Linked DNA regions of Saccharomyces cerevisiae S288C. The protein of the gene in region 2 interacts with the protein of the main gene of each other region in a biochemical or structural test. Each region holds a gene or a part of one and is shown on either strand. Other genes may lie near its edges.

What was found. The genes of interacting proteins can lie anywhere in the genome.
Region 1: the proteins of ACE2 (region 2) and CRM1 form a complex in vitro, tested with the Saccharomyces cerevisiae proteins (2 studies listed by BioGRID, with this or other methods).

Annotation. Positions count from the first base shown.
Region 1 is NC_001139.9:930,946-934,706, forward strand, and holds the start of CRM1 (exportin CRM1), read left to right. Parts: upstream 1-1,595; coding exon 1,596-3,761. UniProt on the Saccharomyces cerevisiae protein: Receptor for the leucine-rich nuclear export signal (NES).
Region 2 is NC_001144.5:405,062-408,822, reverse strand, and holds the start of ACE2 (DNA-binding transcription factor ACE2), read left to right. Parts: upstream 1-2,000; coding exon 2,001-3,761. Other genes in the region: bifunctional choline kinase/ethanolamine kinase CKI1, read right to left, coding at 1-378; USB1 (phosphoric diester hydrolase), read left to right, coding at 668-1,540. UniProt on the Saccharomyces cerevisiae protein: Plays a role in regulating basal-level expression of CUP1. Activates EGT2 transcription in the absence of SWI5.

The DNA.
Region 1 (3,761 bases), on a different chromosome or scaffold from region 2:
AAAAAAATGCGCAAGCCCGGAATCGAACCGGGGGCCCAACGATGGCAACGTTGGATTTTACCACTAAACCACTTGCGCTTACTGATTATATCTTAATGGTTGAAGAGATCTGAATAAGTTTTATCTTCCTCTGGGCAAAGAATACTATACATTGCAAGAGTACCCATTAGAAGGGAATTAATTTATGCACTCTAAATCTTTTTTGATTATTCCGGATATTATTTTTGTTGATAATTAGAGGTAAAAAATAGTATTAATGAAGAAATAAGTATTGATCTTCTTATACTAAATAAGAGAGGTATATAAAACACACGCCGATTGGTCATATTAATCATGACCAATATAATAGTGATTCCGGTAGTTACTATACATTGATGTGACGACTCATATTCCTCATATATGTACCTACCATATCATGTTCAACTAATAGATTTTAAGCACAGCTTCAGTATTGTCTCAGCTTCTCGTTTAACATTCCTTCTGCAATAGGTGCAATCACACTTAAACGTATACGAGGTGTACATTAATATACGATGTAAGCATTATATTGTTACCATAGCAACTCATGTCACTATTAATTACTCTCGTTCCAACAATTTTGTATTTGAAGCTTTAACGGGTGTTAAATGCACAGCCGATACGGCTCATCCGAAAAGTAACGCCAATTATATTAACAGCTTTTCCATTTATTTAGAATGGCGATACAACGGAAACATACGAATATGATAGTACTCAATTGTTGTGTTGGAATAAAAATCCACTATCGTCTATCAACTAATAGTTATATTATCAATATATTATCATATACGGTGTTAAGATGATGACATAAGTTATGAGAAGCTGTCATCGATGTTAGAGGAAGCTGAAGTGCAAGGATTGATAATATAATAGGATAATGAAACATATAAAACGGAATGAGGAATAATCGTAATATTAGTATGTAGAAATATAGATTCCATTTTGAGGATTCCTATATCCTCGAGGAGAACTTCTAGTATATTCTGTATACCTAATATTATAGCCTTTATCAACAATGGAATCCCAACAATTATCTCATCATTTACCCATTTCTCATGTTGTGTACACATTATATACCTCCCAGTTACTGTCAATCCTCTCCTCTTATATCGTTTCAATACAAATAATATATTATGAAGGGCAATATTACATCATTACCCGGAGATATATACTATTTGGAATGATCTTTCTTTATAAGAAAAAAAAAGAATTTCGCAGATTTCCCTGGCTTTCCTTATTCTTCCTACGTTAGCATTATTATGAATTATCGCTAATAGCAAAGGCAAAAAAGATTATCAACTGCAGGATATTCGGTCACAACTTTGACATAGATCTTGAGAACCTCAACACTATTCATTTCTCTGGCCTGATTATTTTAAGTAAAGTCAATCATTGTTAAGTTTTCTTTTGTTCTTTTCTATCATTCTCGCTCTTTCAATTACTTACACCTACAATAATAGACGTTGACCTGTGAAAGGCAAGAAACTTAACTAATAGTATAATTAAGAAGAAGTTAACATTTTACTCTACATTATTGAAACCGCTCACTGACTTCAAAAATAGGATAAAAACATAATATGGAAGGAATTTTGGATTTTTCTAACGACTTAGATATCGCTCTATTAGATCAGGTGGTATCTACATTCTATCAAGGTTCAGGTGTTCAGCAAAAGCAAGCCCAAGAGATTTTGACTAAATTTCAAGATAATCCAGACGCTTGGCAAAAAGCTGACCAAATTCTTCAATTCTCAACTAACCCTCAATCAAAATTTATTGCCCTTTCCATCCTTGATAAATTAATTACTAGAAAATGGAAATTGTTGCCGAATGATCATAGAATTGGAATTAGGAACTTCGTTGTTGGTATGATTATCTCCATGTGCCAAGACGATGAAGTATTTAAAACACAAAAGAACCTGATCAATAAGTCGGACTTGACTTTGGTCCAAATTTTAAAGCAGGAATGGCCTCAGAATTGGCCTGAATTTATCCCAGAACTAATCGGCAGTTCAAGTTCCTCTGTTAATGTTTGTGAAAATAACATGATCGTTTTGAAACTGCTATCCGAAGAAGTCTTCGATTTCTCTGCGGAACAAATGACACAAGCTAAAGCTTTACATTTGAAAAATTCCATGTCAAAAGAATTTGAACAGATTTTTAAATTATGTTTTCAAGTTTTGGAACAAGGTTCTTCAAGCTCTCTAATAGTGGCAACCTTAGAATCTTTACTGAGATATTTACATTGGATTCCTTATCGTTATATTTATGAAACCAATATTTTGGAATTATTAAGCACCAAATTCATGACATCGCCTGATACAAGAGCCATCACATTGAAATGTTTGACTGAGGTTTCAAATCTAAAAATTCCACAAGATAATGATTTGATAAAAAGACAAACTGTACTTTTTTTCCAAAATACTCTACAACAAATTGCCACAAGTGTGATGCCCGTGACTGCCGATCTGAAAGCCACTTATGCAAATGCTAACGGTAATGATCAATCTTTCTTACAAGATTTAGCAATGTTTCTAACTACATATCTCGCTCGTAATAGGGCCCTTCTAGAGAGTGATGAATCGTTAAGAGAGTTGTTGTTGAATGCGCACCAATACTTAATTCAATTATCCAAAATCGAAGAAAGAGAACTATTTAAGACGACATTGGATTACTGGCATAATTTAGTAGCAGATTTGTTTTATGAGGTTCAGCGTTTGCCTGCTACCGAAATGAGCCCATTGATACAGTTATCAGTCGGTTCACAAGCTATCTCAACTGGATCTGGCGCCCTAAATCCGGAATATATGAAAAGATTTCCATTAAAAAAACATATTTACGAAGAAATTTGTTCACAGTTGAGATTGGTCATTATTGAAAATATGGTTAGACCAGAAGAAGTCCTTGTGGTTGAAAATGATGAAGGAGAAATTGTTAGAGAGTTCGTTAAAGAATCAGACACTATCCAATTATACAAATCAGAAAGAGAGGTTCTTGTATATTTGACCCATTTGAATGTTATCGATACAGAAGAAATCATGATCAGTAAATTGGCAAGGCAAATCGATGGTTCCGAATGGTCATGGCATAATATCAACACTTTATCTTGGGCTATTGGTTCCATATCTGGTACAATGAGCGAAGATACTGAAAAAAGGTTTGTAGTTACTGTTATTAAAGATTTACTAGATTTAACGGTCAAGAAAAGGGGTAAAGATAATAAAGCTGTTGTTGCATCGGATATTATGTACGTCGTGGGCCAATATCCTAGATTTTTGAAGGCTCACTGGAATTTTCTAAGAACAGTTATTTTGAAACTTTTTGAATTTATGCATGAAACTCATGAGGGTGTTCAGGATATGGCATGTGACACATTCATTAAGATTGTTCAAAAATGTAAATATCATTTTGTTATTCAACAACCCCGTGAGTCTGAGCCTTTCATCCAAACAATAATTAGGGATATTCAAAAGACAACTGCTGACCTACAGCCGCAACAGGTCCATACATTTTACAAGGCTTGTGGTATTATTATTTCTGAAGAAAGAAGCGTAGCGGAGAGAAATAGATTATTAAGTGATTTGATGCAACTGCCAAATATGGCTTGGGACACTATAGTGGAACAATCCACTGCTAACCCAACATTGTTGTTAGATTCTGAAACTGTCAAAATTATTGCGAATATTATAAAAACCAATGTAGCTGTCTGCACCTCAATGGGAGCAGATTTCTATCCACAGTTGGGT
Region 2 (3,761 bases):
GAGATTTAATATGTCCTGCTTCAGATAATCCGAAGGTAAACTTGCATCCAATGTTTCCTTAACAAAGGGAATCTCAATATATTCCGACGAAGTCGAACCCAAACTATCTGTGACATCAGTTGCTGATGCTCTTCTTGGTCCCTTATTTGCGGTTTCAGAGACGTCCAGTTGCACACCCGCTACTCCCTCATTGACAGCTCTCAAATCGTCATCGTCAGTAATATTAGACACATCAGACTCGATACTGATGGTTCTAATCAGTCTTTGCGAGGAACGTTGGCGTGTTAACGAATGTCTTCTTTGAGAACTCGATCTGGACCTTGCTTGGTAACCGACCGAGTAACTTCTTACACTCCCTGGACGTGATTCTTGTACCATCTTTTGCTCTAATTTTACGTGCGTATCTATGTGTGTGTATTCTATAAGAGTACAAAAAAAAACTGTATATTGTTGTCCTAATTCTATAACTTTTCCATTTGGCTTATCCTTACTTACAGCCACAGAGCTTCTATTCTGTCTCTTCGAGATTTAACCGGCTGGGCCGACAAGAAAAACGGTAGAGCACCATGTGAATATTATACCATAAAGAACAAAGAACAAGAGAACGATCTGTTGGTGGTGTTCTAAAGTGAAGGAGGTTACCAATCGCTTAGAAGAAGACTGGCCTATGGAATTCATATCTGCAGACTATTCTAGCAGTGACGGTAGTGATACCGAGAGCGAAAGTAGTAACAAAAGTGAGGTCCAAATCGAATACACGGAGAAAACTTGCATACAGAAAGCCGATTCCACTGATTTACCTGCAATACCGGATTCAATTATATTGAAGTACCACATCCCTCCGAATTTACAAAAGTACGAGCACCAGGATATGAATATGAGTCGATTTTGGCGTTCGTTCACATATTTTGAGTGGCGTCCGACTCCAGCGATTCACCGACAACTTCAGAAAATCATATGTAAATATAAAGAAACATTTATGAAACAGGAATACACTAATCCGTATCAACTGGTGGATTTTGACCCGTTGTTCATCTCACACTTGGGAGCCCCCAAACCTTTACACGTTTCCTTAACTCGATCGTTGTTGTTTGAAACTGAAGAACAAAGACATGTTTTCATTCAAGAAATGCGTAATGGTTTACGAAATAATGAAATAACCCCTTTTAAACTTCAAATCTGCTCATATCCGAAGTTATATATATCAGAACGAGCCAACACCTTGTACCTCGGTCTCCCTGTCTCAGAATGTCCCAATAAGGCACAAATTTCTCCTTTCAAAACGATAATAGCTGAGGCACTTCAGAAATCAGGCATTTCAAACTATCAGGATTTAATTGTAAGTAGGCAAAATTTACATGTTTCAATTGCCATCGCTAGCAACCCTTCAAAAGCCACATTAAAACGTTATCAACAATTAAACGAGACGATGGGGGCGCTTTTACTACTCAATAATGACTTTGCATACAAACTAGAGTTCTTAGTTAACTCTATCTATTGTGATGAAAACCGTCACTCCATTAGAATCCCTTTTAACTAATAGTGTTATAGGAATAGCCGCCCAAAAATACCGGGGCACTGAGAGCGGCTCGTCAGATAGGTGAAGGTTGTCATAATATACGATATATATCTCAAAACGGCAAAATGTAAACATTGGCACTTTGGGAAAATTTCAGGACACTTTTGGTTTACAGGTAAAGGATAAGGATGCTTGTAGCTAGTAAATCAACTCCAGAAAGCATTTAGCCATTAACGGGCAAATATTAAGGAGGGAGTACTGTTTGTTTACTCGCAATATTTCTGTCCCTTTTCTTTCATTAAGGGTTTTATAGTACACATAAACTTATAACAACCTCTCTCGGCATTGTACCTAGCAAACAAAAGCTACGTTGCAGGGAGACTCAAGCAACAGTTAAAGTGCTAGAAGAAAAAAATACAAGGCATAAATTCAAGAAATAACTAAAGAAATCTATAGGACCAAAAACGGTGTTAATACAATCATGGATAACGTTGTAGATCCGTGGTATATAAATCCCTCAGGCTTCGCGAAAGACACTCAAGATGAGGAGTATGTTCAACATCATGATAATGTCAATCCTACCATACCCCCACCCGACAATTATATTTTGAATAATGAAAACGATGATGGCCTCGATAACTTGTTAGGTATGGACTACTATAACATCGATGACCTGTTGACTCAAGAGTTAAGAGATCTGGATATTCCTTTAGTGCCTTCTCCTAAGACGGGCGATGGTTCTTCTGATAAAAAGAATATTGATAGAACTTGGAACCTTGGTGATGAAAACAACAAAGTCTCCCACTATAGCAAAAAATCAATGTCCTCACACAAGAGAGGTCTAAGTGGCACAGCGATATTTGGATTTCTCGGCCATAATAAGACATTGAGTATTTCCAGTTTACAGCAATCCATTCTAAATATGTCTAAAGATCCGCAACCCATGGAACTCATAAATGAATTGGGTAATCATAATACGGTAAAAAATAACAATGATGACTTTGACCATATAAGGGAAAATGATGGTGAAAATAGCTATTTGAGCCAAGTTTTGTTGAAACAGCAGGAGGAGTTAAGAATTGCTCTTGAAAAACAAAAGGAAGTGAACGAAAAATTGGAGAAGCAGTTGAGAGACAATCAAATACAGCAAGAAAAGTTGCGTAAAGTATTAGAAGAGCAAGAAGAGGTGGCGCAGAAGTTGGTTTCTGGGGCTACAAATTCTAATTCCAAACCTGGATCTCCAGTAATACTAAAGACACCTGCCATGCAAAACGGTAGAATGAAAGATAATGCTATAATCGTCACAACGAACTCTGCAAATGGCGGATATCAATTTCCTCCTCCGACGTTAATATCGCCTCGGATGTCAAATACTTCAATAAATGGTTCACCATCCAGGAAATACCATAGGCAACGATATCCAAATAAAAGCCCAGAAAGTAATGGATTGAACCTTTTTTCCTCTAACAGTGGTTATTTGAGAGATTCTGAACTGCTTTCATTTTCTCCACAAAATTATAATTTAAACTTGGACGGCTTGACTTATAATGACCATAATAACACCAGTGATAAAAACAATAATGATAAAAAAAATAGTACTGGTGATAACATATTCCGTCTGTTCGAAAAGACTTCCCCGGGTGGGCTAAGTATCTCTCCAAGGATAAATGGAAATAGTTTGAGATCGCCCTTCCTCGTCGGCACAGATAAAAGCAGGGATGATCGATATGCTGCTGGCACGTTCACGCCTAGAACACAGTTGTCACCTATCCACAAGAAAAGGGAATCCGTAGTTTCCACGGTCTCGACAATATCACAACTGCAGGATGACACTGAACCCATCCACATGCGAAATACCCAGAACCCAACATTAAGAAATGCAAACGCTTTAGCGTCATCAAGTGTACTACCTCCTATTCCTGGTTCCAGCAATAACACTCCAATTAAGAATTCTTTGCCACAAAAACATGTATTTCAACATACTCCCGTCAAAGCTCCACCAAAGAACGGAAGTAACCTAGCTCCGCTTCTAAATGCACCGGATTTAACAGATCATCAGTTAGAAATTAAGACACCCATACGAAATAACAGTCACTGTGAAGTGGAAAGCTATCCGCAAGTACCACCTGTCACACATGATATTCACAAAAGCCCCACTTTGCATAGTACGTCTCCTTTACCAGATGAAATAATACCTAGGACTACGCCAATGAAAATAACCAAGAAACCAACTACTCTGCCT